Linked DNA regions of Bombyx mori. The protein of the gene in region 1 purifies or fractionates together with the protein of each later gene. This does not show direct contact. Links are inferred from orthologs where the notes say so. Each region holds a gene or a part of one and is shown in the gene's direction. Other genes may lie near its edges. The genes, in order: armadillo segment polarity protein, ruvB-like helicase 1, CREB, transcription-associated protein 1, paxillin, E3 ubiquitin-protein ligase UBR5 and S-phase kinase-associated protein.

What was found.
Region 2: the proteins of armadillo segment polarity protein (region 1) and ruvB-like helicase 1 purify together in Homo sapiens (affinity purification with mass spectrometry; 6 studies listed by BioGRID and IntAct, with this or other methods). This does not show direct contact. The link is inferred for Bombyx mori from reciprocal best matches to the Homo sapiens genes CTNNB1 and RUVBL1.
Region 3: the proteins of armadillo segment polarity protein (region 1) and CREB purify together in Homo sapiens (affinity purification with western blotting; 3 studies listed by BioGRID). This does not show direct contact. The link is inferred for Bombyx mori from reciprocal best matches to the Homo sapiens genes CTNNB1 and CREB1.
Region 4: the proteins of armadillo segment polarity protein (region 1) and transcription-associated protein 1 purify together in Homo sapiens (affinity purification with mass spectrometry; 3 studies listed by BioGRID, with this or other methods). This does not show direct contact. The link is inferred for Bombyx mori from reciprocal best matches to the Homo sapiens genes CTNNB1 and TRRAP.
Region 5: the proteins of armadillo segment polarity protein (region 1) and paxillin purify together in Homo sapiens (affinity purification with western blotting; 3 studies listed by BioGRID and IntAct, with this or other methods). This does not show direct contact. The link is inferred for Bombyx mori from reciprocal best matches to the Homo sapiens genes CTNNB1 and PXN.
Region 6: the proteins of armadillo segment polarity protein (region 1) and E3 ubiquitin-protein ligase UBR5 purify together in Homo sapiens (affinity purification with western blotting; 3 studies listed by BioGRID and IntAct, with this or other methods). This does not show direct contact. The link is inferred for Bombyx mori from reciprocal best matches to the Homo sapiens genes CTNNB1 and UBR5.
Region 7: the proteins of armadillo segment polarity protein (region 1) and S-phase kinase-associated protein purify together in Homo sapiens (affinity purification with western blotting; 3 studies listed by BioGRID, with this or other methods). This does not show direct contact. The link is inferred for Bombyx mori from reciprocal best matches to the Homo sapiens genes CTNNB1 and SKP1.

What each region holds. Positions count from the first base shown.
Region 1 is NC_085116.1:12,303,003-12,307,180, forward strand, and holds the start of armadillo segment polarity protein, read left to right. Parts: upstream 1-1,378; 5' UTR 1,379-1,519; intron 1,520-1,566; exon of another isoform or gene 1,567-1,763; intron 1,764-1,805; 5' UTR 1,806-1,836; coding exon 1,837-1,873; intron 1,874-1,945; exon of another isoform or gene 1,946-2,113; intron 2,114-2,548; coding exon 2,549-2,673; intron 2,674-3,529; coding exon 3,530-3,635; intron 3,636-3,764; coding exon 3,765-3,975; intron 3,976-4,106; coding exon 4,107-4,178. Other genes in the region: uncharacterized protein LOC101744306, read right to left, coding at 1-178. UniProt on the Homo sapiens protein: Key downstream component of the canonical Wnt signaling pathway.
Region 2 is NC_085128.1:12,885,549-12,890,302, reverse strand, and holds the start of ruvB-like helicase 1, read left to right. Parts: upstream 1-1,434; 5' UTR 1,435-1,805; coding exon 1,806-1,946; intron 1,947-2,323; coding exon 2,324-2,452; intron 2,453-3,368; coding exon 3,369-3,543; intron 3,544-4,086; coding exon 4,087-4,289; intron 4,290-4,480; coding exon 4,481-4,649; intron 4,650-4,754. Other genes in the region: importin-13, read right to left, coding at 1-34. UniProt on the Homo sapiens protein: Possesses single-stranded DNA-stimulated ATPase and ATP-dependent DNA helicase (3' to 5') activity; hexamerization is thought to be critical for ATP hydrolysis and adjacent subunits in the ring-like structure contribute to the ATPase activity.
Region 3 is NC_085116.1:8,892,878-8,897,698, forward strand, and holds the start of CREB (cAMP responsive element binding protein), read left to right. Parts: upstream 1-1,648; 5' UTR 1,649-1,707; intron 1,708-1,833; exon of another isoform or gene 1,834-1,946; 5' UTR 1,947-1,961; coding exon 1,962-2,114; intron 2,115-2,276; coding exon 2,277-2,426; intron 2,427-2,667; coding exon 2,668-2,833; intron 2,834-4,821.
Region 4 is NC_085110.1:5,823,670-5,827,964, forward strand, and holds part of transcription-associated protein 1, read left to right. Parts: coding exon 1-165; intron 166-293; coding exon 294-534; intron 535-880; coding exon 881-1,082; intron 1,083-1,517; coding exon 1,518-1,848; intron 1,849-1,928; coding exon 1,929-2,090; intron 2,091-2,167; coding exon 2,168-2,419; intron 2,420-2,526; coding exon 2,527-2,726; intron 2,727-2,813; coding exon 2,814-2,884; intron 2,885-2,977; coding exon 2,978-3,183; intron 3,184-3,840; coding exon 3,841-4,017; intron 4,018-4,295. UniProt on the Homo sapiens protein: Adapter protein, which is found in various multiprotein chromatin complexes with histone acetyltransferase activity (HAT), which gives a specific tag for epigenetic transcription activation.
Region 5 is NC_085116.1:14,686,751-14,689,938, forward strand, and holds the end of paxillin, read left to right. Parts: intron 1-1,808; coding exon 1,809-2,075; 3' UTR 2,076-2,260; downstream 2,261-3,188. UniProt on the Homo sapiens protein: Cytoskeletal protein involved in actin-membrane attachment at sites of cell adhesion to the extracellular matrix (focal adhesion). Recruits other proteins such as TRIM15 to focal adhesion.
Region 6 is NC_085121.1:11,160,819-11,165,834, forward strand, and holds the start of E3 ubiquitin-protein ligase UBR5, read left to right. Parts: upstream 1-1,692; 5' UTR 1,693-1,912; coding exon 1,913-1,974; intron 1,975-4,416; coding exon 4,417-4,766; intron 4,767-4,932; coding exon 4,933-5,016. UniProt on the Homo sapiens protein: E3 ubiquitin-protein ligase involved in different protein quality control pathways in the cytoplasm and nucleus. Mainly acts as a ubiquitin chain elongator that extends pre-ubiquitinated substrates.
Region 7 is NC_085119.1:7,149,667-7,153,814, forward strand, and holds S-phase kinase-associated protein, read left to right. Parts: upstream 1-1,446; 5' UTR 1,447-1,593; intron 1,594-1,684; coding exon 1,685-2,173; 3' UTR 2,174-2,853; downstream 2,854-4,148. UniProt on the Homo sapiens protein: Essential component of the SCF (SKP1-CUL1-F-box protein) ubiquitin ligase complex, which mediates the ubiquitination of proteins involved in cell cycle progression, signal transduction and transcription.

The sequences.
Region 1 (4,178 bases):
AATTTAAACGGCTGTACGTTGATATATTGTATAAACTGCTGGCCATTTTAGGTGATACTAATTTATTGATTCCGTAAAATAATAATGAAGACTTTATACAGCACGTATTTATTCGAGGTTTTCTTGCTTCACAACGGTCGGTGTTATTGAAATACCATAAAAAATATGCACAAATCATCCATTTGAGTCTACGATTTGACAGGTGCTTCTTTTAAACGAACTTTGAAAAAAGTCCCGATAAGCAGAAGATCTTGGCAATTTCAATCCATAATAATACTATTCAATGCGAAAGTGGGATTGGTGGTTTGTTGCGCTTTCATGTTTTAACTACCCAGCTGGTCAAGACGAAATTTTTCGTACAAATTGTAAGATTACAAAATAACAAAAAGAAAATTAGCTCGGAGAAATCACACATGTTCAGTTGGCCCCAAACTAGATAAATAAATACATAGCTATACCTTTAAAAGTACGTTTATAACATTTAAAATGGCTCAATACTTTCATTCATTTATACGGATATCAACATCCAAACAAATAGTAAACAAATCTGTTCATCACACTAATGTTTACCTGATCTGGGAATCGAACCCACGATATTTTTTTGCTTTTGATGCCAACAAAAAATCTGAAAGTAATATCGCCATCGCATTCACGGCCACGGAACTTGTATGACATTATTTCGTGCATTGATCTTGAAGCAGGATTCTGCCTACTATGTTGCTTCGAAATAATTTTGTACCTAGAAATATTTTCACATAAGTTGATAAAGATACCTGATAAAATCAACCGCCTTTAATCTAAAAACTTAAATATTAGCTAGTAACCAATATAGACCTAGGGATCTAGACAAAGTGTGCTCTTAAATATTAAGTACATATATTATCTGTGAATGTACTAGCGTTAATGTGAATATTAGATATGTAAATACAGAAGTACCGTATTTATTATATTTAATTTTAAGGAATTGACATAATAAATAATAATTACCTATGCTAACGAAACGTCACGTGGTCTAACTCATGTCAATCCCTTAAAATCATACCCGTCCGGGCATAGCTGGAATAAGACCTCAGGTACCTTCAGACAGGGAGTAGACTCAGTGGTCAAGGCTCAGGTACATCAGGTTTTTTAAAACTAGGTCATTTAATATAATAATATGACGTAACAATTATGTAAAATTATTATCTGCTGTATAAAAAAGTTACAAATCAATTAGGCATCATTAAAAAAATACAAATCTGCGTGCCACGAATCGTATTGTTTACAATTTATCCCTGAACTTTATGTTGGCACCCCGAGCCTTTGAAGAAAAAATGAGATAAAAGCATATGCAATACCTTAGAGCGAACGAAGTAGCAATACTAGTGTCAGCTGCATTTGAAAGTAAACGAAATTCGACGAGTCTCCGCCATGTTGTTGTATGAATCGAGTGACGGTGGGTCGGATATTGTGCATTTAATTTGTAAAAATTATTTAAAAGTCGTGAAAACAGTTAATCTGTTTGGCTTGCACGGCCAAGGTAAGTTTTATTCGCATTAATTTTAATTAAATAATGATATTAGTCACCTTAATATCTCGACCAGTACAAGTTATTTTATGGGGTCGGGTGTGGTGTTCGGTATTTAGTTCATGGTGCACTTATTTGTTTTGTTTTCCGCTGTTCCAAAAGTATTTCCTAGTGGGAAGCATTAAATAAATGCAAATGTTTATGTGATTAAGTTCTAATGTGAACCATGCTTTAATTCTTATGAATCGATCGATAACGTACAAAGCGGAGACATGTTTTATGGTATTTTTTACAACAGGGGACGGGTGCATCGTCGCATCGTCTAAATCATGAGTTATCAAATTCCATCATCGCAAAGTCGCACAAGTAAGTAATTTATATTGATTCTTTTGTAAATGTAAATTTATCATATCATTGCCATTCAAAAAGCTTGAGTACTTACTGAACGCTGTTCAAACCACTTACTTCGATACAATTGAATGAATCGGTTTGTGTCTATCGTGACTCATGCATATGGCATTACTTGAACGATAAATTTATAAATGAACTTTAACTTTTCTGTATCTCAGTACATTCTCTGCTAAGTAGCAAAAGAAAAAGAAATCCTAAAACACGAAAACATTGGAATTGAAACTGAGGGAAAAAATTACATTTTGAATCATACATTCTCAGTTCATTTATTTGAAAACAATTTTTAAACAAATTGCAAATAAATTAGATTAAAAGGAAATTTGAAATATAATTTGTTATGATTTGAGAACTCTCAAAAAGGTTCTTCAATTAATGAAAATACAGGTATAACAAGATTAGGATTCAACATAATTGAAACTTCAATCTCTTGTCAAAAGACGTGGAGTTCACATTAATGGCATAAAGTAACCACTTTATTTTAGTTTAAGTTTAGCTCCTGCAACTACTTACTAATTCTCTTTATGTTCGCTTGAAATTAAACCCATACTACCCCTTACATTCCTACAGAAATATATATATATCTCTCTGTTTTGTGTGAATAAAAAACGAGAAAACATCATTATTTTACAGTGTCGCACAGCAGCTATGTTGCTTCTGATGTGCCAATGGCACCAAACAAAGAGCAGCAGACATTGATGTGGCAGCAAAACTCCTATTTAGTGGACTCTGGAATCAACTCTGGAGCTGCTACCCAGGTAATGTTATCAGACTGTCTATTATAAAATACAGCAGTAATATTGTCCTATTTCATTATAAAAATTGGATTAAAATAAAATACGGCTTGTCTTCTTAATTTAACATAATTTTGGGATGGACACAACTGAAAATCTATCTTTATCAATACAACAACATAAGTCATTCAATATACAAAATAATGATGAAGTTTGATTAAATTTTTTATTATGATGACACTTCATAATATGAGATACCTGAACTACGTGTGCTCTAAACCTTGCTGATTTTATCATGGAACTTTTAACTGTTAAACGTAGAATGATCTAAAGAAAAAGAAAAAACATTTTCTGTCTCATTTAGTCGTGACTGAACCATACAAACTAGCAGTTTGAAAATTACTTCTGCATATTAAATAGATTTTGAATTGAACTGAGCAGTACTTTCATTAGTGAAATCTGTTATGGTATTTCATTGATTTTATCTGGCCTGTGTTCTTTAAGTAAGGACAGTAAATATGAGCAAAACACCATCCATTATAGTGTGAAGATATTCTTGCATTTTAGTTTTTAGAGTACACGTCAAGCCTTGTGTACTTCTTAATAGTTGTTTAAGCACTGATGAAACTAAAATCTTAGTATACAGCTCGAAAAGTAATATAAAATATCATAAAAATGCACAAAAGATCAGCTATAGTGATAATTGCTAACTTTTATTTGATATTTAAAAAATATTTTTTATTCCCAAAAGTACAAAAGATTTTTTATGAGAATACATAACCATACCTTTGTAACTTGACTGAGAGTGATAATCAGATGACTCCTACCTTTTTGAATAGTCACATCAATTTATTTTAGTTAAATGTATGATTCTCTTCAGGTTCCATCACTAACTGGCAAGGAAGATGATGAGATGGAAGGTGACCAACTTATGTTTGACCTTGATCAGGGTTTTGCTCAGGGATTCACTCAAGAACAAGTTGATGGTGAGTTGTTTCCCCATTTCATTTAGAAACGTTTGAATGTACAATATAGAAATAATTTTACACAAAAATTCTTATGACAATACAAGCTGTTTGGATTGTTGTATTCAATATCATATGCTTTACTTTCAGATATGAATCAACAGCTTTCTCAAACTAGATCTCAAAGAGTCCGTGCGGCTATGTTTCCTGAAACGCTGGAGGAAGGAATTGAAATTCCATCGACACAGCTGGATCCCGCTCAACCAACTGCTGTCCAGCGTTTAGCTGAACCTTCCCAGATGTTAAAGCATGCTGTGGTGAACCTCATCAATTATCAAGATGATGCTGATTTAGCTACCAGGTATAATTATGTAATATAATAGCCTAACACCAGATATTCTATCAGATCATCAGGCAACAAGCATGAAAAAAAAAACATTACACTATTATTATTCATTTGTTCTATTCCTATTGATTTTAAATTTGTTTCAGAGCTATTCCAGAGTTGATAAAGCTACTGAATGATGAAGATCAAGTAGTAGTATCCCAAGCTGCCATGATGGT
Region 2 (4,754 bases), on another chromosome or scaffold:
CGGCGTATTCCAAATTCTGCACAGTATACTCCATTTCAAATTAGATTCTCCAGTGAATCTAATGCTATATATATACCGGAAAAAAGGCCTGATTTTACTTGAACTAATAAGTTTAGACCTAATTCATCTATCTCACTGTTTTAAAACTATCTTTAAGTTAGATTTTTGTGTCTTAATCAATACACAATATTGTCTGGATTGATTAATTTATCTTTCCGATTTTACATTTCTGTAATTTTGTCAATTTTTGGCATTTACCTACCGGATTATGTGAAATTTGACTTTACTAAATGTCAAACGAACCCAACCACTGTTTTTTTTTTTGCCTACTTATGCTGGTAGCTTCAAGGGGCTATAGTTATACCTATCAGCTTCAACGGGTGAGTAGGCGAGCTTACGGGGCTCAGCCTGACGAATTGGTGTATACTAGCCCAAGCAAAAACAGTGCTTCGCTGAATCTACCGCCGGACCGGAATCAACGACTACTATAATTCTGCATAAAATATATTATAAGATTTGTCGGCGATACGTTAGGATTTTTACAGGTAAAAATAGTAGAACGAAAATGTAACACAAAATTCTATAAAATGTTAGCATTGCGTGAATATTACTTATATACATCTATACCGATATCATAAAGAGGAAAGATTTGATTGTTTGTTTGTATTGAATAGGCTCCGAAACTACTGAACCGATTTGATGATAGAATAAAACCGAAAACTATTTATGATAGAATAAAATAATGTACTACGACTTTGTAGAACACATTAATATTTACAGTGTTTTTGCAGTATAACTATTATAGTTATGCCACAGTAAGTGTTCTTTTATTTAAAAAAATAAAACTACGTCAATTATCGTTTACAGAGAAGCTCTGACTTAATAAACTTAATGGCTTTTGTTTTGTATGTATTACATTATCTTTTTACGAAAATTAGAAATATAATAATAAAAAAAGAGATAAAAAATCATATAGAATTTTTTTTTTAATTAAAATAATAGTATTCAAACTATATTTATAGATAATTTTCTTTTTTTAGTAACTCAGGGCAAATAGAAGAGTAGATGACGTGTGTGTGCTATAATTTTTTAATTTTGAAATTTTTGTTAATTTTCAAATGATTATGCAAAGTTTTCGCTGCATTCGTGGTTTTCCAAGCTGTGTCGGTTTTTTAACAGACATGAAACCGCGCGAACCGCGATCCTTCGCGTAGTCTCCCACACATTCGTGTGACCAGTTGCGCCCAGGATAGCGAAGGCAACGGACGTTTCGCTATTTTCATAGATCGTGACGTCCAGGTACTGTGTAGCGTATCTTAATCAAAAGAAATCCCATAAAAACAGCATGGCTGTTAATGATGTCTGGGAAAGAATTCAAAACTCTTTTTCTCTTCAATATTCTATTGACGAATTAAAAAGGAGGAGAAATTCGTGAGACATTCGTAAACAAGTGTAGGAGGAAGCGCAAACGGGTTCGCAAATTGAGTACCGAACCCATTTGCACAGCCGCTAAGTTTGCGAATGAATGTTTGACGGCCCTTCACATGCGCGCAAACATTCGTACAATGTACGAATATTTGCGCGCATGTGAGTGGCCGGCATTATGTGCTGTAGTCTGTAAGAAGCGTATACCTAATCTATGGTCTGTAGCATAGATTATAAACTTAATATATTGTCTGTACAGTGTAGTTTGTATAATGTATGGTGTAGTTTAAAAAGTAAGTTTGCTCAAGTTTGCTGTTGGAGTACTAAAAAGAAAATACAAAGTAACGTCTACTGTTTAAAAGAGTAAAGCTGCTTTCAACATGAAAATTGAAGAAGTGAAAAGCACAGCTAAAACGCAAAGGATCTCTGCTCACAGTCATATAAAAGGCTTGGGGTTGGATGAAAATGGTGTTCCTATTCAAATGGCAGCCGGTCTCGTGGGTCAAGAGTCTGCACGTGAGGTATACAATAAAATTTCCAAAAAAATTGCCGATAAATTTACACTCGAAATTGTATAAGTTTTATTAGATCAACCTCGTAGAGCAGAAGTTCGAGAAAAATAATTTGAGGTTATCAATGTTTGGTTGCTATGGAATTATTGATCAATGGTAATTGGAGGCAATATGACAATATACATAACAAAATGTTGAATTGTAGGATTAGGTAGTTTAGTAATAGTAATTCAATGTAATCTTAAGCAACCTAACACATTTAATACAATCTAATTTTTATTTATCATTTACTGTCCAATGACCACAAAATTACAGGTATTTTTATTGCATCTATACAAATACATTTTTTTTTGTAAACTATTTTTTATTAATTTTAAAAATTGTAGGCTGCAGGGATAGTTGTAGATATGATAAGAAGTAAGAAAATGGCCGGGCGAGCTTTACTCTTGGCAGGGCCTCCTGGTACTGGCAAAACTGCTATAGCTCTTGCCATCGCTCAGGAACTTGGAACTAAGGTAAGTTCTTACTTAAGTCTGACAATATAAACTTGGGCTGTCACCTTCTTATTTTCATATCTAAAATGAGTGTTTTTTTATTATTATTTTTATTGCTTAGATGTGTGGACGAGCTCACAGCCCACCGGGTGTTAAGTGGTTACTGGAGCCCATAGACATCTACAACGTAAATGCGCCACACACCTAAAGTTCTATGGTCTCAGTATAGTTACAACGGCTGCCCCACCCTTCAAACCAAAACGCATTACTGCTTCACGGCAAAAATAGGCGGGGTGGTGGTACCTACCCGTGCGGACTCACAAAAGGACCTACCACCAGTAATTACGCAAATTATAATTTTGCGGGTTTGATTTTTATTACACAATGTTATTCCTTCATCGTGGAAGTCAATCGTGAACATTTGTTAATTACGTATTTCATTAGAAAAATTGGTACCCGCCTGCGTGATTCGAACACCGGTGCATCGCTAGATACGAATGCACCGGACGTCTTATCCTTTAGGCCACGACGACTTCTCTTTAAAAGTCTTTTTATTGACAATCTCAATGGCATCGGTTTAGAGCATACTGACCATAGTGTGACTGACCATGTGTTAACATTTTACTGACCGATTATGGTGGAAGCAGCCACTTAAGACTTCCTATTCGCACACTTTTTAGATAGAGGTTAGGAAACAGCTACTAAGAAAATAGTAAATTCCAGTGAACAAGAACTGTTGAAAGAATGATTAATAGGCTCCTATTAATATACATTGGCATTAGAAAATTAATGAATATGCTAAACAGTACATTACATATAATAAACTTATCATAGTTTCCTCAGTGTCCTTAGCTAGAAGTATATGAATAGAAATATCATCATCATCAATTTGTCATAAAACAAGCATAAAAACATTTGAAAATGTTCATCATTACAGGTTCCTTTCTGTCCAATGGTTGGTAGTGAAGTTTACAGCACAGAGATCAAGAAAACAGAGGTATTAATGGAGAATTTTCGACGTGCTATAGGCCTGCGTATACGTGAAACCAAAGAAGTATATGAGGGTGAAGTAACTGAGTTAACACCTGTTGAAACAGAAAATCCTGCTGGAGGTAACTATAGCAAAATTATTCTTTTATTCTTTTATATATTAATATGGACTTAAGAGGGTCTGAATTAAATGTTTTTTTTTTTTTTTTTTTTATATTGATATAAGAAGGTCTAAGGGTCTAAATAGGGTCTCTAGATAGCTAAAGCCAAAGTGGATATAATCTACTATGATTGAACTTAAAATGAAATTAATTGACAGATATTGGCTATAGTCAGTTTGTATTTTAAGAACAGCAATTTAAATTGAAGGTTGGGAGTCCGTTGCACATTCAGTAAAATGATAAGTTTGTCTAAACCTTAACTACAACTACTCTTAGCACAGTTTGTAGGCAGTGGGTTGGCTTTCCCCTTGACATGAAGCTTTGAAATTGGTCAAAAATTTGATACCAAAGTTCATAATATTAGTTTTGATTTTTTGTGTGGATCTATCATGCAATGAATAATCTTGCTTCAATTACTGTAAAATTTTGACTTGACTTGCTCTGACTTGATTCTTTGGCTTATATCTGCTTTACCTAATATTTTTGATATCTTCTTTTTTTAAGGCTATGGAAAAACAGTATCTCATGTGATCATAGGACTAAAAACGGCCAAGGGTACCAAACAACTTAAACTTGATCCAACTATATATGAATCGTTACAAAAGGAAAAGGTTGAAGTTGGGGATGTCATTTACATTGAAGCTAATTCGGGGGCAGTGAAGAGACAGGGTAGGAGTGATACTTTTGCTACTGAATTTGACCTTGAGGTATGTACATGGTGCATTTAAATTTAGTTGTAGTGGTACTTACTAGAATCATTTAATACCAAATCAACAATCAATCAATCAAATTGAATCAATCAATCTCCTCCAAACTTTTCGTAATTCTACTTCTGACTCATACAATCAATTCTTAATCCCCTCTTTGGATGATAATCAACTTTGAACTTGTTTCCTAGGCTGAAGAATATGTTCCGCTACCCAAAGGTGATGTACACAAAAAGAAAGAAGTTGTACAAGATGTAACCTTACACGATTTGGATTGTGCTAATGCAAGACCGCAGGGAGGTCATGACATTATGTCTATGATGGGACAACTCATGAAACCAAAGAAGACTGAAATAACAGGTGTGTTACTTTATAATGTTTAGAAGTGGTATCTGAAAAAGTATAATTCTTAATTAAAAAAAAGGTCAATTGCTAACTCTCGTTCTTTCTGAGGTATTTTACTTT
Region 3 (4,821 bases), about 3.4 Mb from region 1:
TCAACACAGTTAACTGACCGTTTTCCATACCCAGACGTATGTCGTCGGTGATTTTTACCAGAGCAGTGACTGTACTATGGCCAGGACGAAAACCGGACTGAAAGGGGTTCAGGAGATCATGACTATTAAGGAACGAACTCAACTGGTTATGGATAAGGCGTTCGAGGACTTTAGATAGGAAAGGAAGAATGGATATAGGTCGATAGTCGGAAAAGGATTTAGGGTTAGGTTTTTTTGGCAGAGGTATTATCTGTGCTTCTTTCCAAACAGAAGGAAACACACAGTTGGAAATTGAAAAATTAAGGATGTGGCAAAGAATAGGAAGCAGGATATCAACTAATGGGATGACCATATTACGACTTATACTATCTGTTCCGATAGCATTGGACGCTATAGAAAGGATACTCCTTCGAACATCACAAGCTGTGAATTGACGAAATTTAAAAGAAGAATGGTCAGGAGCGGTAATGTTAGAAAGAGAATTAATGGTAGATGACTTAACAACGTCATCTAATAAAGACGAAGAAGTAAAGAAAATGTTCATCTGATCAATGTTAATGTTTGTAGAATTACACTCTTGACGAGATTTACCAACTCCTAATGACCTTAGAAATTTCCAGACTTTTGCTGGATCCTCAACTTTAACGGAATCATGAATGTGACGTCTTTGAGCGTCTCTACACACCATATTGCAACGATTTCTGATCTTAACATAACGTGTTCGGTTAAACTCGGTTGGGCGCAACTTATACTTAGTCTTAGCCGCAGACTTCCTCCTCTTCAGATCTCTAATATGTTTATTTATTATTTAATATATTTAATTTATTTTTATTAATTATTTTTCATGTCTTGTTTTTAACTAGCTTATCCTTTTGTTTCCTTTTGATGACTTTGTCGCGGGTAGTTTCCCTACCTTTCACTTGAAACTGGCATAAAGTTAAAACTATTGCCATAAAGGAAAAAAAAAAAAAAAAAAAAAATATGTTTGATTTTGAGTTTTGTTTTGTGACAGTTACATTGAAAAAGTCGTGACACTTGCAATATGTGACACAATAAGAAGATACAATGTAGGCAAAAGTAGCTTGCATATGCAGCCACGTGACTGACGTCATCATATACCACATAGGATTTAGGGAGTATAAAATTGCTTCAACACAGAAAGTTACTCCCAAAGAGTATATAATCACTATAACTGGTTACTCCAAAATGGTGTTTTCTTTGGTTCATTATTTATTTTAAAATTCATTGATTATTTATGGACTAAGTTGTTTGCGAAATTTAAAAAAATATGGACAGTTAAAAATATTTTTTCTTGTACAATATTTTTAACATGCATAAATGTCGTGTAAGTGATGATAATCAAAAAACGAAAACAATGATTATGTACCTAGACATATTATGAACACAATTTTTTATTGTAATTTCAAAGTTTATAACATCCATTACTGACAGTTATTGTAAATTGAGAATTTTTAACGCATGCGCTATCCAGTTAAAGAATTCGGCCATATTGTGATGACGCATACAAGATCATAGGTCTCCGCCAGTGACGAGTCTTCTCGCAGTTGACGTGGCTACTACGTACCTTCCCGTTCACCCACTCCGGACGCAGCATAGACGGTGACGAGGAATACGTAACTGGTGAGTGCTTGTGAAGACTAAACTTGCGACCTGTCACGGTCGCATATATTTGGAATCGCAAATAATGTATGTTCCATATGATGATAAAATCACTCAAAATGTTCCAAACACAGAGATAATCTGTGTCATTTACATGAAACGCGTTGTTAAGAAATACCGCGTTTTGGCTATGACGTGATGATGCCGTTTTAGGATATCCCGTGAACAACCTTGCAACGATAGAGCCAAGCTAAACAAATTGGTTTTGCAATACGCATAAAAACCTAGTAATGAAGAATGCATAGAGAGTTGACCTTGAATTTTAGGTGACCTTAGTTGGCATGGAAGGGATGGTTGAAGAGAACGGCACCACAGGCGGTGCTGGCACGACGGATCCACTGGCCAGCGCGAGCTCTTCGACACCGGGTTCCACTCCTCATGTTGTCACCAGTATAGTACAACTTACTCTACCCAGTCAGGCTCCCTCTGCACAGGTGTGAATTCCATCTATATGTATTGTTGAGTGAATCAAATTAATATAAAATTTTAATATTATAGTTAAAAGGGGACCTTTTCAATAATATCAGTAAACTGTTTGTTTTGTTTACAAATATTAAGACTAGATAGTACATATAAATCATTTAAATTTTTTGCAGGTGCAGTCTGTTATTCAACCTAATCAACAATCAGTGATACAAACAGCATCCAATATCCAATCTGTACAGATACCAAAGGGAAATGTTATACTTGTTAGTAAACCCAGTTCTGTAATACACACTACGCAAGGGACATTACAAACGTTACAGGTAAATTAAATATTCTCTAATCTTTACAGTAATTCACTCAATAGTGTTGAGGAAAGCCATCATTGCCTAATTTTTTGGTTAGGATAAAAACATTTTTTGAAATCAAACTTTATAGCATATTTAATGACCAAAATAAGCAATAACTAGAGTATGGTTCAATTGTAAATTTTCATAAAATCATACTAAATATCTAAAACAGACAAAAGTTTCAAATTTTTTTTATTCCTATTTCTTATTTTAGATAAAACCAGAACCTAATACACTTGTGAATACACAAGGTCAGTCATGTAGTGATGAAAGCTGTGGCAGTGGTGATGAAAGTCCCAAACGTAAATATAGAGAAATGTTGACTAGACGTCCGTCTTATCGAAAAATTTTAAATGACCTTGGAGGAGCAGAAATTGCAGGTACAGTTTCTATGTTTACTGTTTTGGTGTATAATAAAGACTTGTGATAGATGTAGTGCTGTGCATTGTGCGAATAATAGTCTGCTCAATAATAAATTATGCAAACTTGATTCACCTAAATCAATCATTACATTTTTTGTCATTGGATCAGCTACCAATGTAATAATATGGAAAAAGCACTAATTTATCAAATGTATTGCTGTTAATAATACTGCAGTAGTAATGAAGATGCAATAATTATGATAACAATGTCATATTTTGTCTTTCAATAATAATCATAATTTGATCACAATGACTAAATATTTTTAATTAAAATTGGTTATTATCAATCAATATGCTACTAAATTGGCACAGTTAATTGTCGCTAGTACTAATGTTTCATAGCACCGAAAAAGCTAGTAGTAATATTTCTATACTAAGATGGGCCCACAACCCCTCTTTTTCAACCCATGTCCACTTAATACTGAGTGTAGTTCTCTTCACATGCACTCAATTCCCTTCAGTCTCTTGCCTTTCTCCATCTACATCCAGTACTTACTAGCTATTTTGACCATATCGTCAGTCCACCTCCTTGGTTGTCTGCTGACATTACTTTGCTCAAGGCCTACATATTATAAAACGACAACTGGAGCTCATAGAAACTGCAATGTGAATGAGATTGGATTATGATGTTCAATATTTTGCATTAATACAATGACCACCTTTGGTCAAACCGGACACATTATTATTTTTCACTAGAAATAGGTACAATACTGATACCCATGTGAGGGCTCATGGTATTCCAAATTTAAAATTAAAGAGGGTTTTATATGCTGTTTATTGATATCAGAAAAACCAAAGCCAGAACCAAGTCACTCCCACTGTGGAGCTCCAAGATATTACTTAAAGTGGTGGAAATTACTGGCAGTAGCTTAAAGATACCAATTCTTGTATTTAAGACGAAACTGATTTCTCTGACTTAAGATATCATTAGGCTTTTTATATATATTACAATCTAATTCTCTTATTATTATATATTTTGAGCCTGGCTAAATTCTTAATGCATTAAATTTGGAGGTGAGGTGAGGATTTAACTTCACTCATTAGTGGAGTTAGCACCTCTATTAATTGTTAATGTAGATAAAAAAAATACAATTACAAGTAAAATATAATAGTTTCGTTAATACTCTTTGTCAATTTCCACACATGTGTATGTACAGTATATAAAAAATAATATATGATCTACAAATTTTGTTCAGTAAGTTTTTAAATGTGAAGCTAACCAAAACGCTTGAAGTAAGCTGTAACCGTTTCTTCTTTTGCAATTGTTGGGCAATCGGTCAGTCCATTTAGACAACGATACTTTTCACTTTTATTGTGTCATTAATGAAATAATTTAAAAAAAACTCCTGAAAGACCAATAAATTGAAAACTTTAAATTTAATGTCATTCCATTTGTATCCAAAAATAAAACTTGAATAATTTGAGTTTAATAATTTTTACTTTCAAACATTACTCTGGTAGGAAATCTTGTTCATTAATACAACTTACAAATTTAACCAATTTAGCTCTCAAAATAAAAATAATTAACGAAATAATATCTTGATACTAAATAAAAATATCTTCATTGTATAAGTATGCAAGTTTTTTTTTTGTTCCAAATGATCTGATTGAGTTGAAACTTTTTTACATTCAGGATAATAATACTAAGGTATTTGCAAATAGCAGTCTTAATCGTAGTCTAAGTTTCATCTACTTCTAAATTATATAATTTTATTAAAATGAAACTAGCATAGACCGTAAAACAAATTAAAATCTGGCACGATTACCGTCCACGGGGAATATAATAATATGTAAGATTGTACATGAATTGCTTGAAATAAATAATAGCATAGAAATGGTTATTGACCTTTTTATAGGTACTATGAACTTTTTATACTTTTCCACTCTTGTAGCCGAAATAAAAAGTGAAAATTAATTTTCATAATACTGAGTATAAACTTTACTGG
Region 4 (4,295 bases), on another chromosome or scaffold:
CTAGGGAAGCTACCTTGTTACAAAGGTGTCAACTTGGTGCCTCTACGCGCCTCTGCTTTGAGGGCTCTGGCGTCTTGTCACTACATGCAAGAGAAACACTGCAGAGAGAAAATATTCCAAGTACTTTATAAATCTTTAGAGAAGAACGATACGGAATTGCAACAAGTAAGTGAAGTTATTATATATTGTCTAAATAGTAAACAAGATCCAAAATTTTTTTCAATTTTTTTCTATTTGTAAGTATTTCCCAAACTGGCTGTGATAAAATGTAATGAATAATAATTTATACGCAGGCTGGCTTTGAATGTATGCAGAAGTTCTTATCCGGCTTTCAAATCGACATGGAGATGGTCCACCCGGTGATGCGGCCGCTGCTGCTGACCCTGGGCGACCACCGTCACCTCAGTGTGAACGGCGCAAAACGACTATCGTATTTGACGCAATTATTTCCCTCCACGTTCAGCGAGAAGCTCTGTGAGCAGCTTCTGCAGCTTCTGAAGAAGTTGCTGGATTATTCTATACAAACAAATAGGGGTATGTTCATGTGCAACTAACTGACCCGGCAGACCTCGTAATGCCTCAATCGTTAAATAAAAGATCTAAGCTTTTGTATAAAATAAACTTAAAACAAACAAAAAGAATCCGTCTGATGGGGGACACATAAAAAAAAATGTTATTTTTATTTAATTCCGAGCATTTTCATATTTATCTACCTTTTAAATATTCTTTGGACTTCCACAAATAATTCAAGACCAAAATTAGCCAAATCGATCCAGCCTTTCTCGAGCTTTAACGAGACTAAAACAGCAATTAATTTTTATATATATCTGCAATAAACAATCTTTATAGTACCACATAAATAACAAGTTTTATTTTCCAGGCGGAAATTTCTTGCAAAGTGTTTCGAAGAACATGGAGAACGAGCAAAAAATCTTGATTTTAATTGGAATATTTCATCAAATACCAGCAGCATCACCCCGCTTTATTGACGTTCTTTGTCGCCTTATATTTCACACCGAAAAGTCTCTGATGATTGAAGCTGGTTCGCCTTTTAGAGAGCCACTGGTCAAATTCCTTATGAGGTGAGTACCCACGCCACTTGTGGTTATAATAACTAGTGGTCCCGTGGTAGTTGAAATTCGACTATAATTAATTGAAATTATAAGTTTGTACATTACTTTATTTAGTTTACTTTACATGAACTTCTAATAGGTTGGGGAAAAAGTCTTTTCGCATTATAGTATGTATAAGGTTGTGTTATGTTATATAATATATGCGTGTGTGTGTCAAATATATGCTAGTGTGTGTAATGTTTTTTTATTGATTTAATGTATTTTTTACGCATAATTAAAAAAAAATTGTATTCTGCACTCCTTTTCTATAAGAGTGAGAAATTTCATACTCCTCCGTCCGCGCAATTTTCGTTAAAAGGGGTACATTTTTTGCTTCATGTATTAATATATAGATACAGTAGAATACTTTTATATATTTTTTTTATACTTATAATTTTATTTTAGATACCCAAAAGAGACCCTGGATTTAGTGCTGGGCGACAATAATATAAAGGACCAGCAGTGGAGTCGATTCCTGGTCTTCCTTATCAGACATCCCGAGGCTGGTCCCGCGTACAGAGAGGCGCTACAGACTTCTAAAAAGCCTCGTCTAATGCAATTGTTAGCGTCCAACTCGACCGCGACAGCCGCCCAACCTCAGCCAGAAAAAGCTGAAATGCAATTCCAGGCCGTCAGGGCTATATCGTTGCTGATCAAATATGACGACCAGTGGCTGTCCACTCAGCATGACTTGATAGAATTACTGAAACGCATATGGTACAGCGACAAGTACCATGTGAGTGTTTAAATTTGATTATATTTTTTTTAAATGTATTATATTTAATTCTTTTTTATTAATGAATATTATTTTTGCAGGAAATTCATAAGAAAGTGGAAATTGTGGATTGCACTCATTGGAAAGAACCAAAACTGATTGTGAAGATTTTGTTGCACTATTTCTGTCATCATCCTAACAATATCGACCTCTTGTTTCAACTGCTGAGAGCGTTATGCGATCGTTTTGTGCCAGACTTCCAGGTACTGTAAATAATATAGAAAATTTCGAATGCTGTTATTTACATAATTTAAGACTAAACTAAATGATTTTTTTATAGTTCCTGCGAGACTTCCTGGAAAATACAGTAGCACAAAATTACACAATCGAATGGAAAAGGTCGGCGTTCTTTCGCTTCGTCGAACATTTCTCTAACGACGCAATGTCTCAGGAATTAAAGGCGAAAGTCTTGCAGATGATTCTGATTCCCTGTTTCGCTGTTAGCTTCGAGAAGGGGCAGAAAATAGTCGGAGGCCCGCCGGCCCCATATCAGGACAACCCCGACAATGTCGTCTCTGTGTTCATAAATAATGTAAGTTTCATTCGTTTTGGTTCACATTAAAAGGTATACATATTTTACAGTGAGTTAAATATATATTTTTTACATTAATAATCGACATGTTATTTTTATCCAATCAGGTCATAGATCCAGAAAATCCATTCGCTTGTTCGGACGCGGTTCGCATATCCCTGCTCCAGTTCGCATGCCTGTTGCTGGAGCAGGCGTCGGCTCACATCCACGACGCTAATAACAAGAAGCAAGGAAACAAACTCCGCAGGCTCATGACCTTCGCCTGGCCGTGCCTCCTCGGGAAGAACTACGTCGATCCAGCCACCAGGTCAGTCAGGTTTCAAGTTAATGATAATTTCATTGATCCGATCTAAATTTGTTGTAAAATTAATCTTGATATACTTTTTTCCTGCAGATACCATGGCCATTTGTTATTGAGTCATATTATTGCGAAATTCGCAATACACAAAAGAATCGTTCTGCAAGGTGAATATGAAAATAATATTTATTTGTTTTAGTGGGATTTTAGTAGAGATTTAATAAGAAAATTACGTACTAAAATGTGTTTGTTTGCGTTAGTATTTCACAGTCTGCTAAAGGCCCACGCGGTGGAAGCGCGTTCTGTGGTGCGCCAAGCGCTAGAGATACTGACGCCGGCGATGCCGCAGCGCATGGAGGACGGCAACACGATGCTAACGCATTGGACCAAGAAGATTATTGTTGAGGATGGACATTCAGTGCAACAGCTCTTCCACATACTGCAGTTGGTCGTGAGACATTATAAGGTTAGTAATCGAGTATGAGTTCGAAGTCATTCGCGGGATTCGAATACCGACACAGTCACAACGCTCTATTGAATGCACCAGGCGTCTTGTTCTTTAGGCCACTACGACGTCAAAATACTAGTCGGCGGTATTAAGGAGTGATTGGAGCCTATAGGTAGTATAAAATGAATGTTGATGTCCTACTTGAGAAGTAAGATCGAAGTTTCATTTCGGTTAGTTTAAACACATTGAACTTATTCATTAACGCCATATAAAACAGCGTCAGTTTTTTTTTCATCTTTTCGCACGTAGCTTAAGAGGTTATTCCAGCTATGCGCGGACGGGTAGATGAGCTTACGGGCTTAACCCGAGAGAATTTGCTAACACTAGCCCATACAAGAGCAGTGGTTTGCAGAATCTACCACCAGATCGGAATCGCAATCCACTGAGAAGATCCGGCGAGAAACTTAGTGGGTTGTGTCTATGGGTTAGTTCGCCATGAGTTCGACGAGGAACAGCATCAGTATTCGATTTATTGGTATACAGCGATTTTACTGTACAGTTGTGTCATAGTTGACGCCTATAAGTGACATTAACTACTCAGGTGAATCGTATGCTCGTGGGCCTATAAAGGCCAAAAAAGAATCCTGTAGATATGATTAGCAACGTGACGTGCAGGTGTACTACCCGGTGCGGCACGCGCTGGTGGGACACATGGTGGGCGCCATGCAGCGGCTCGGCTTCTCTGCGACCGCCTCGCTGGAGCACCGCCGGCTCGCCGTGGACTTGGCCGAGGTGGTGCTCAAGTGGGACCTGCAGCGCATCCGGGACCACGCACTGCCCGACGACAACATCGTACGTACACTACATCTTCCTGATATGTTCCTAATAACAGATCTCAACTTAACTGATCGTTACATATTTCACTGCCATAAGAACAATAAGAAACAGATCTCTGACAAGTAAAAGTTCTTCCAATTTTTATCGCTAACAGTAAATTGTAAAAAATGTTATTATATAACTTTTTTTTTATTGCTTAGATGGGTGGACGAGCTTACAGCCCACATGGTATTAAGTGGTTACTGGAGCCCATATACATCTACAACGTAAATGCGCCACCCACCTTGAGATAT
Region 5 (3,188 bases), about 2.4 Mb from region 1:
TTCATCGTGGAGGTCGCTCGTAAATACGTGTTGACGTGTAGAAAATTATAACTGTCTACAGAATCTTAGATACCCACCGGCATAGTCGCATCTTTTTTTTCCTACCTAAGCTGACGGTCTAGAGTACTCTAGAGAGACAATATCAGCGTAACCTTAACTAGTAGATGAGCTCTCGGGGCTCAAACCTGACGACGTTGCTAACACGAACCCTAGCAAGAGCAGTGCTGCGCAGAATCTAACACCGGATCGGAAACGCGACCCACTGAGAAGATCTGGCAAGAAACTCAGTGGGCTGTGTCTGTAGGTTAATTTACTCGGCGAGCCCCTCGTCGCAAGCGATGGGTTCGACGAGAACGATGACCGGTAGTCGCATCGCTTAATACACTTGCACGAAGGTTTTATCCTTCACGCCACGACCAATCATCAAATACTATGTACTAAATTCGTCCAAGATTTCCCGACCCACTAACGGTGCTTTTAGGTACTCAAGCACGCGCGCCTTTCTCAAGGCGTAGTCTCCCGGTAGGAATTGGAAGAAGAGGAGGACTTTGGTCTTCCTCTTCTTCCTCTTCTTCTCTGGAGGCGCCGGAGTCCGACATAACCCGGTCTATTACCCCTCTCGACCGGGTATCCGTAAATGGATTCCCCAGCGTTAAAAAAAAAAAAAAAAGGTACTCAAGCACCGGTTACCGTTCACCAGTAAACTAACCCACAGACAGCCCACTGAGTTTCTCGTCTGATCTTCTCAGTGGGTCGCGTTTCCGATCCGGCGGTAGATTCTGCGAAGCACTGCTTTTGTTGGGCTAGTGTTAGCAAATTATCTCGGGTTGTGCACGCGAGCTCATCCATCCGGGTATACCAGTACCAGCGAGTAGGTAGTGAAAAAAGGGGGATTCTAACAACAATGATATTAATTAGCAAACTAATTATAGTAAACAAACTAAGTATATCATATTTTAAAGTGAAACACGCATATTAGTTACTTTGGTTGGTACTGACGGCCTCCGTTTCTCTGCAACGCTATGAAGTATCATATAAAGTCGCTCTCACCCTGGTGGCCACTGGCCAGTCGGTTTGTCAGCATATCAATAAACAGTGCACTTACAAAATAATTCAACAAATAAACTCCTCGTAATAAAACATTAATAATGTTCAACGTTGAAATTTTACAAAAACATCGTATTTCATAAAATTAGATTAAAAAATCTTTAATGTTGATATAACCAGACGTTTTCATGGATTGCGTCCAAATTATAATGTTAGTCGGTTGAAGGATAGACGGAAAACATTCTGACGCAACGCGACCCAGATTTGTCAATTGCATATGTATTTATTTAAAAAAAAATCTCGGTATATTTTTGTAAATTCAAGATTTTTTTCTTCGCTAGTATCTACTATGGACACTTCGTAAAACAAATAAATCAAAACACAATGAATATATAATATAGTCTTGTCGCCAATTACTGGTGGCAGGACCTCTTGGGAGTCCGCACGGGTAGGTACTACCACCCTGCCTATTTCTGCCGTGAAGCAGTAATGCGTTTCGGTTTGAAGGGTGGGGCAGCCGTTGTAACTATACTTGAGACCTAAGAACTTATATCTCAAGGTGGGTGGCGCATTTACATTGTAGATATCTGTGGGCTCCAGTAACCACTTAACACCAGGTGGGCTGTGAGCTCATCCATCCATTTAAGCAATAAATAAATAAAAACGGGGATCTGCATCAAGGAATACACATTAATGGAGAATGCGGTGACGCGCAAATGTACTGGGTTATTTGTTATTAAAAAAAAAAAGTTGTGTTCCAGGAATGCCGTGAGCCTTTCCACGGAGGTTCGTTCTTCGAGCACGAGGGCCAACCGTACTGCGAGACGCATTACCACGGAAAGCGAGGGTCATTATGCGCGGGCTGCCACAAACCGATCGCGGGCCGATGCATCACGGCGATGTTCAGGAAATTCCACCCGGAGCACTTCGTCTGCGCGTTTTGCCTTCGACAACTCAACAAAGGCACTTTCAAAGAACAAAACGACAAGCCGTACTGCCACGCGTGCTTTGACAAGCTGTTCGGGTAAAATGGCGGCGAGCGAACGCAAAATGGCGCCTGTTGTTGTCACATCAAAATGTCGGATATCGACAAATAAATTTTATGTAATACGACTTTTATTAATTATTGATCGGATACAATATATTCGTATTGTTATAAAAATCGATTTATTATATTATTAAACTAAATGGAATAACATTAGATTTTATGTGAGAACATTGTTTGTTTTTTGTGAGATTTAAAGTCTCGAACAATGAAGTCTAAATATAAACTCATCTGCTCACGATCTTAATAGCTCATTGAAAAAGATAATCGATAATCGAAAATTCGAAAAAAAAAAAAACATTTTTTATTGGTCTAAGTTGTAAAGTTATCAATAAAAGTAAGGAATAATACGCAGTAGTAATTTACTACCATTAATTCCTTAAAATCTCTATAAAATTCACTACAGTTATGTTTAAGGTAAAGAAAACAATGAAAAAAATATTCATTTTCTTACTAAAATGTTAAATTTCTTAAAATATAACGGATATTCTTTGAAATAGTAGTAGCTAGATAAGTGCATGTGATGACTAATTATAAAATATTTATATAAACCCTTATACAGTTTAGATAGGTTTAAATGTTTTTGTCGTCGGTCTAAAATGTCACAGACATTAATTGAATAAGGTTATAAATAAATATACGCGGTTAGGTCATAAACAATATTTTTTTAAATAGTGTAGACCAGGAGCCTCCTATGTTATTTGTTTTAGATTTTGGTACGCTGATAAATTAGGAAACGGTCAGCACACCCTTGTAAGTAACAATCGCTGAATTTTTACTAAATCTCCCATTCTACTTAGGGAGAGAGAACTCAAATAGGGAATATTTGAAGAGTTGAATATGGAGTTCATGTGTCAAAGCATTTCTTGCCTAAATATCGCTAAGTAATACCACTTATACAACAGGTAAACATACTGTAGCTTGTTCGGAGATTTTAACGACCGGCTGTCTAAAATCAGTCATTCGCGGAAATTTCATTTCCATGTGGTTATCGATTTTTGTTTATAAATGTCTCATAAAATTCAAACGATAAATAAAATAAATAAATGGACATCATAAATAAATAAACCAATATGTATTAAAAACAATTTAGAAA
Region 6 (5,016 bases), on another chromosome or scaffold:
GCGGCACGCACACGATTCTCTGGACCCAAACTAAGATATTTATACCATGGGACCCACAAATTGATATACTTAAATAAAACTGAGACTTCACATAACTCTAAATAAAAAATATCATGACGGAAAATCGTGTGATTTTGTGGCCAGTTGACGTGATAATTTCGTGATATGAATTGACCTAGAAATCGTTGCGGTAATAAATCGATTGTTTCATCCGTGGCATATAATTAAAATGTATCATCTATGGGCGTGGTATATGGCGCCGTCCTACTAAAACTAAATGTCATCGAAATCTATGGCGTCTATTTAACAACAAAAACTTATTATTTTCATGTAACGAATTCCGCGAAGTATGCGAGCGATCTCATTGTAACTTTTCCAATTTTTTTTTAAAGATTTTTCGTTATTTTTTTCGACTTAAACTGATAGCCTAGGGGCTTATGCCAGCGTAACCGGGCGAGTAGGTGAGCTCACGGAGCTCTGACCTGAGGACGTTGCCAAAACTAGCCCCAGCAAGAGCAGTGCTTCGCAGAATCTACAACCGGATCGGAAACGCGACTCACTGAGAAGATCAAGCGAGAAATTCAGTGGGCTGTGTCTGTGGGTTAATTTACTCTTCGTCGTTGTGGTACCTAAAAGTACCGATAGTGGATCGGGAGGATCCGGAATGACGTGTTTTGGGCGACGTGGACTGTTTATCATTTGTAGTTATACTAAAAACATGTAGCAGGTTTGGTTAACAATGGTTTTCAGGATCGGGTACTATAACTACATGTTACCGGCGGCCACGACAAGAGAGTTTTCGTGTCACGCCGCTTTCTCAAAATGGCGCACTGATGCCGACTGTAAATAATTACTGATGGAGTCCAACTCCACATTATCGTGAAGATCCACGTTCTTCACGAACCACGGTGCTCAGAGGGCTATTTTGCAAAAACGGGTTTGAATGACTTGCAGGGGTTTTAAATTAGTGCGGGCTGCGGGAGCGAACACACACTTGCATAGGTCATGACTGGATGTATGCAAGTTTTGTAGACAGTCACCTTATTACGAAGGGACAATTTAATTCCCTTGTAAATCATCCGAGAAAATGTTTTTAACAAGGTGCTTCATACATGCTTCAAATGTTATATAATCGAAACATTCTCAGCTATCAAATCTATGCTATGCAATGCTAATCATTGCTACTTGCACGAAATAAAAATTCACAAGATTAAAAAATGCACTCTTGATGAGACATCTATAAAATCAATATAATAAAACAAAATTGAAGAATTAAAAACTTACTTAAATAGTGCATAACTTACTTGTATGTACTACTTTTTAAACTCAGTTTTTAAAGTGTACTTTAAAGAGAATAATGCCTTTTTAAATAAAAACAAGTAGGTAATGCTTTTAGTTGCCTTTTAGGACTACAACGCAACTATTTTCTTTGTGACATCAATATTTAACTTATCTAGTTCATGGATAATTTCTGTATGAAGATTTTGTTTGAATTAGAACCTCCTTTAGAGATTTTTTAACCGTTTTGCTTGATATACTTAAAAGAAGTAGCTATACTATGTGTTAAATGGTTATTTAACTTAATACAATAGTTTCATTTATCATTTTCTTTTTTTTACGATGTAACCGGTCCCCCAAGATTTTAGTCGATTATTTTTTTTGTAGTTAGCGAACTCTTACCAACATTAAGGAAAAATTTGGTAGCCATGTTGATATTTTCCTTCTTTTTTCGTCATGTACCGACTCACATGTATTTGAGTACGAGAAGCGATTACAAGAGAAACCACGAGAAATATGGTGGTTGATGGAAAATTGTAGATGGTGTTCTTTTGTTCGTGCATAACTGTGGTGAATTTTAACAAATGTTAAAGTGTGCTTTGAAATCTAGTTTCCACGGGATAGAATCGTGAAAATGTCTGCAATGCATTTTGTAGTTCATCCTTTGCCTGGGACGGAGGATCAGTTGATAGACAGGTAAACATATTTTATCGTTTTGCTAGACTCCATTTCGTTCACGTTGTGAAATCCGACATTCCATGACTTCAATTCACAAAGAACATTTTAATGTCTCACGTTAATGAGCACGGTGTACTCACCTTAAATTTTTCAATTTCACTATAAAATATAATATAGATGTACATACTAGGTATATATGTAATAAATACTTTTGTGTGTCGGTGACATTATGTATTGCAGTTTTTTCATGGGCATGGCAAATATAATTTTCAGATGTACGATTGCAATAAAATCCGTTTTCTCGTGTCCAGTTTTACAGTATCATAATTATTAGTTCATGATCCCAATTATAAGTTTCTATAGATATTTCAGTTATGAAGACACAATCAATAAATTGATGCTACCTATTTATACAAAAGTAGGTAGGTCATGCTCATGATGAGATTTTTAAACTACAAGAGATAAATGTTTAGATATAAAATGCACTGAATTCGATTTACAGGACTATTATTCTTTAAATCATAAAGTATATCTCAAATATAACTAAGAAGTTTCGAAATATACATGTAGTTTACTTGATACTTACACACCCAATTAGTACATTTCTTTTTGCTTTCTTTACCCTCTTAAATAGATTCTATATGAAAAAAATCAGTTCTGAGAAAATGCATCTTTTGTGTTAAGTTATTAAACGGATGACTACAACAATATCTAATAATAAATAATTGCACCCAACTGGGATCAATCTATTATCACATACAGGTCTATTGTCACCAATAAGCTCAATACTGTGATAATAGACAGGGTCTTCTGTGTTGAGCAGTGTTGGTTAATGTCACCATTCCTCATGACGAGAACATCATGAAGGCAGAAAAGGATAGCTTAATAAAATATAGTTACATTTTATAGAATTTAGACCTGACCCGCGCAACTAACTTTATGGCATGTTGATTCAACAATCTTGGTTTATCTGTTCAACAATCTGATGGTTGTTTAATTTTAATTCAAATTTATATGGTCAAGTGTGTACACCTAGAATGGCACCATCACATTCTTCTCATGGTGTTTGTGTTACTAATGAATTCATTAGATAATGGGCAGCACACTAAAATAGTCAACTAGATTTTACGGGTGGTAGGATGTATTGTGACCTGCACTGTTTAGTTAACAACATCCTGCTTATTTCTGCCGTAAAGCAATAATATCTTGCAGTGTGAGGGGTGGGACAGACTATACAGTAAATGGAGACTATGACCTCATGTTTCAAAGTGGATAAAAATGTGAATTATATGGGTTGTAGTAAAATTATGTGACTGTGAAGTTTGTAGCTTGTTAATCCAAAAAAAAAAATCAGTCCAACAACTGAATACAACAAGAATACAAAGAAAACCTATTGCTAACTATAAATTAAATAAGGGATGTCTATATAATGTTCCACTAGTTTGTTAAATTTAGTACTAAAATTATTACACAAAGAACATAATTCTAGAATAATACACCTATAATTACCATAGAAACTTCATTTTTACAAATACTTGATTAAATATTCAGAAAATGTGCTTAGAGAGTACACATAATCAAATAGCTATATTGTCAGATTTCAAAATATTTTTACCTATTTGATTCACTGGTTCTCTACTTAGTGAGTACTATATCTTGGAGTCTGGGTTCTATTGCTGGTGAGTTCCAGTATTAAAGATATTTTATACCATTAGGGATCAAGGTAATGTAAGGTAATATTCTAGTCTATTATATATGTTTCCCTCAATAATAACAAAGAAAAAAATCATAACTTGATATAGTTCAATGTGCAATCTCATATAATTGAAATCTATTCTTTGGTTGCAGAGAGAACATTATTGATTTCATATTAAATTCAAATTTATTTAAATTTGACAAAATGGTAACCACAATTTGTAAATGTATTACAGAAATAGGCAGGGTGGTGGTACCTACCCGTCCTCACAAGAAGTCCTACCACCAGTATTCATATAATAACTTATATTCATAATAACTTATTTCATATAATAACTGAAAAGTATTTATAAGTAGTCTCACTAGTGGTAGGTATTGTCAGTCCACACAGGTATGTACCACCACCCTAACTATACTGAGGCCTTAGAACTCTTATAACAATCCGGGTAGCGGCATTCGTTGTACATGTCAATGGGCTCCGGTTACCACTTAACACGAGGAGGGCTTTGAGATTGTCCAACCATCTAAAAAAAAGTACTGTAGGATGAAAAATTAAATCAAAATTACCTTGTCTCTGCTTTTCACTACTCTTTTACTAATTTATAAATGTATTTACTGATTGACTTTTATTTAAATGATGAAATGGACAATAAATGTTACTCAATATATGAAATGTTTTCGTATTTTTATCTATCTAAGTATTTTTACCAAATTCCTTTCAGAAGATTTAAAAAAATATACAAAATTTGTATTTTTGTCTTACAGAATTAGAGAAGTAGCAGAACGTTGGAACCGATACGGAACAGGTGCAGGTTCTTCAGCTCTCAGTTCACTGAGAGGTGTACGGGCTGTTGCTGCTGGGCCTGCCCATATTGCATGTTTGTTGGAAGATGGAACCATATGTAGAGCTGCTTTCTCAATCATCCCTGATAGATTGGACCTGAGTAAATCAGATGCTAGCAAGAATGGAGGAAATGGCGGTGGCGGAAGTGGTGGAGGTGGAACGAGTGGTGGAAAGCAAGGAGGCAGCAGTGGTAGTTGTGGATCTCGCCAACAGCCACGCACTCGAGCTCGAATTATGAGAAATTCTATTCGTGCTGCTCCTAGTTCTCAAGGTAATTTGTCTATTGTTTTCCTTAGTTATAAAATAATAAAGAATGCCGAACCTATGCTTAAACCATTATTGTGCAGGCTCTTTCTGTTCATCAAGTTTTAGCTTTTTTTTAAACAGGTACTGAAAATATGTATATAATTTGAGTAATCTATTTAATATTTGGGCAGGGTCTACAAGTCGTGCCACTGGTGTTATAATTGGAGCTTCAGGTTCAGGGCGAGTTGTTTCTATGCCTGCTCCTTTTGTACCTG
Region 7 (4,148 bases), on another chromosome or scaffold:
CAGATTTTTTATTTTAATTCATGACAAAATAAAAATAAAAATGAAAATCTTGCCAAATAAATTAAAGTTTATAATTAACAAATAAAAAATAGGGGTTGATCGTAGAGGGTTGAAAATTTCAGAGTAATATGAATTTTTTTATTCTACGTCATGACAAAATAAAAACAAAATTCTCGCAAACAATTTTAAAGTTTTTAATTAGCAAATAAAAAATAAGGGTTGATCGTAGAGGGGTGAAAATTTAGGGTTGTATGTATTTTTGTATGCTGTATCATAAAAAAATAGAAATTAAAAATTTTGTCTAAAAAATAAAAATAAAAATTTAGGGGTGGACTACCCCTAACATTTAGGGGGATGAAAAATATATGTTGGCCGATTCTCATAGATACCGGATAAGCACAAAAAATTTCATCAAAATCGGTCAAGCCGTTTCGGAGGAGTATGGCAACGAAAACTGTGACACGAGAATTTTATATATTAGATTTCTTCTTTACTCCATTCACAAGTTTCTTTTTTTTTTTAGTTGTGTGGGAAACTAAGTGTGTATCTATGGTGGGAAATGAATGTTGGTGTTGGAGGGACTTTTTGGCGGGAACGCGAGGAGTGAAGTGGTGTGATTTGTTTTATTTTGTCTATTTAGTGTTTCTTCAGGTTTAAATATGTAATAACGGTGGCTTATTAACTGTTTAATATCTGTGAAAGTGCACAAAAGTGGGAAAATGAAACAAAGCTGCTGGACGTAAGTTCTCGGGTTCCTCTAAAAAGTCTACTGAAAAAATCTCAGTAAATGACCACCATTTTACTGAGATCATATTTCATCCCATATCATCAAATTTCATTTAATTTCATCTAAGTTGATTAATTTCTCAAATTAATCATCTTCATTTCATTTCATTTATCTCCATATTATCATTTTTCATAAAAATAAGAATATAAATTAAAATAAGACATGACTTAAAGGTCTTAGTTATGAGGTCATAAAATCCCTTAAAAAACAATTGGTGTTGGAGGTACTTTTGGCGGGAGCGCGAGGAGTGAAGTTGTGTGATTTGTTTTATTTTGTCTATTTAGTGTTTCTTCAGGTTTAAATGTGTAATAACGGTGGTTTATTAAATGTTTAATATCTGTGAAAGTGCACAAAAGTGGGAAAATGAAACAAAGCTGCTGGACGTAACTTCTCGAGTTCCTCCAAAAAGTCCACTGAAAAAATCTTAGTAAATAACCACCATTTTACTGAGATTATATTTCATACCATATCAACTCATTTCATTTAATTTCATCCCAGTTGATTAATGTCTCAAATTAATCATCTTCATTTCATTTCACTCCATAATAAAAAATTTATAAAAATCTGAATATAAATTAAAAAAAGACATGACCTAAAGGTCTTAGTTACCAGGTCATAAAATCCCTTAGAAAAATTTAAACGAAAGCAGAAAAAAAAACAAAATTGATTAATGATTTTATTCATTCGTTCACTCATTGATTCACTGTTTGGGTTTAAGGAAAAATCTCCAGAACATAAGGGCATTTTCGTTTGAAGATAAATAAATTTCACTTAATTGTGAACATTCAAATACTTGAAAAAACAAGGTAAATACTTCGCTATTTATAAATTGGAAAATGGCGTCTTATTCTCAGCCGTCGTTTTATGATTTACGTTCCCACCGCTCTTTTGTTCTAGATGCCAAATATTAAGTTGCAATCATCAGACAACGAGGTCTTCGTTGTTGATGTTGAAATCGCCAAATGCTCCGTAACTATCAAAACTATGCTAGAAGACTTAGGCATGGAAGAGGATGAAGAGGAAGTTGTACCTTTACCTAATGTCAATTCTGCAATACTCAAAAAAGTTATTCAGTGGGCTACTTATCATAAAGACGATCCTCCGCTACCAGAAGATGACGAAAACAAGGAAAAGAGGACTGATGACATATCATCATGGGATGCTGATTTTTTGAAAGTTGACCAAGGCACACTCTTTGAATTAATATTAGCTGCAAATTATTTGGACATCAAGGGTTTATTAGATGTCACATGTAAAACTGTAGCAAACATGATCAAAGGAAAGACTCCTGAAGAAATCCGTAAAACGTTCAACATTAAGAATGATTTCACTGCTGCAGAAGAAGATCAGGTTCGTAAAGAGAATGAATGGTGTGAAGAAAAGTAAACCATAATAAATGCTATTTGCAAGCATCTTTATGTATTATCACTATGTATGCAACATTAAACTATTTTTCCCATGGCAATAAAGAATAATTAATTTAAACCAAGTAAATTTGTTTGTGTTGTAAATTATATAAAAATAGGTACATCATGTCATTGTGATTTTCAATAAAATTTAAATTTTCATATTATCATTTAAATTACTTTTCATTTAACTTTAATTGTATTATATTTATTGGAAAATTTACTTTATGAAATAGAAATAATTAGCATAAATCACTGACTTAAATTTTTGTCATCTGCTTATTTTTTAACTAATTGTGTGGGTAGTCTTGATTGTGTCCAGAAATTGCCAGTATCCATTGCAATGTTAAACCACAAAAATAAGTTTGTCACCATCAATGTCAATACAAAAAGTAAATAAATATACAGTCACAACCGTTTACTGCGACATCATTTTGAGCAACATGCTGGTTATAATAACCTAGAACAAAGGTCCCGGCTGAATGCTATATGACCGCCTTATTAAAAACATTGCTTTATACGACATTGCTAATACCGACATACCTAATAAAATGACCACATTTAACTAATATTTCGGAGAATTAGATCTGTTAGAACGACCGGCTAAGCTGTATTGTAAACAATTTGAATAGGTATCCACATTTGTCTTCAATGGCTATTAAAATCAGGAAAGAAAACAATAGGATTTTGTTTAGTGTAGGGTCTTTTCTAATTCTTAGAAACAAAAATGTGTATGCGGTAGAGTCAAAGCCCACTTCTTCATATCTTTTCAGTTAGTTTGTTACTTATCTATACACAAGACACACCAAAACTTTGTGGAGTTATTCGTGAAACTTTCAAAATGTTGCAAAGAAAAAAAACAAATTAATAACAAAGAAAAATTGCGTTTTGTGTAAATATATTTTTCCAATAATTCACTATCGATTTGTTTGTACTTTGTTTGTACTTGCACGATACACATTAAACATCACTGGTTGTTACGACTGAATATGAGCAGTCCCTTCGATGTTGTTATAATAGATTTTCACTGTATATGTATGTATTTGATAACCACATTCCCTTAGTCAGTTCCTGATGCTAAGATAGAATTAAACCATCAGCATAACAAATGAAAATAATATATATGAAACAATTTTTTCCTCTTAGATATTTGTCATTAAAATTACTTTTAAAGCTTAGTATATGAACCCATAGTCAGAAATGTCCGTCTGCCTCTTTCAAAAGAAACTGGAAGTGAGTTCCAGCAATTTAATTTATATTGTGCTACATTGTATGCTATGTAAAACAAAATTTTAAAGGTGATTATTTTTTGTTGGATTGTAATTTTTATAATTAAAAAACTACTTTTACAGTTTATCTTGAGTATATTATTATCAATTTATAATTTCAGTTTCAAAATCTAACAGTTTTTGTGGTCATGGATAAGAGGTGCAAGTAAACTATAAAATTTGTAATGAAAAAAATCTTATTGGCAATTATTTATTGTTTACAATCATTATTATTTTAATAATAAAATATCATTACAAATGAAAAAAAATAATTAATAATAATTATCAATTATTTATTCTCTCCTTTTCATAGAACATAATGTTTAGGTCTCATAGTTTGTTTGACTTGGGGTTTCATGTAATAGTCAGATGATTACTTTTTTTCTGATCCAACCTTTTTTCCTTTTATTTACAATAGCTTCATGAGCTATTTATGGAATTAAGGATTGTTTAGGGTGTATTGAGCCATGTTAAATTTCACTATTAGCACTGTCCAGAGTATGTTAAAATAAATCAGACTTATGTTGGGTTTGACATCTGCAATATTTTCCTTAATTCGTAACTAAATGTGCGTGTTACTCCAATGCTATCCAATGTATGAGGTTGCTATCTTCTCTCTACCTCCCTTGATGTACAGCAGGAACAATATAGCAGTAAATAGAGCGACCGGTCGACGGTGTATCGCGT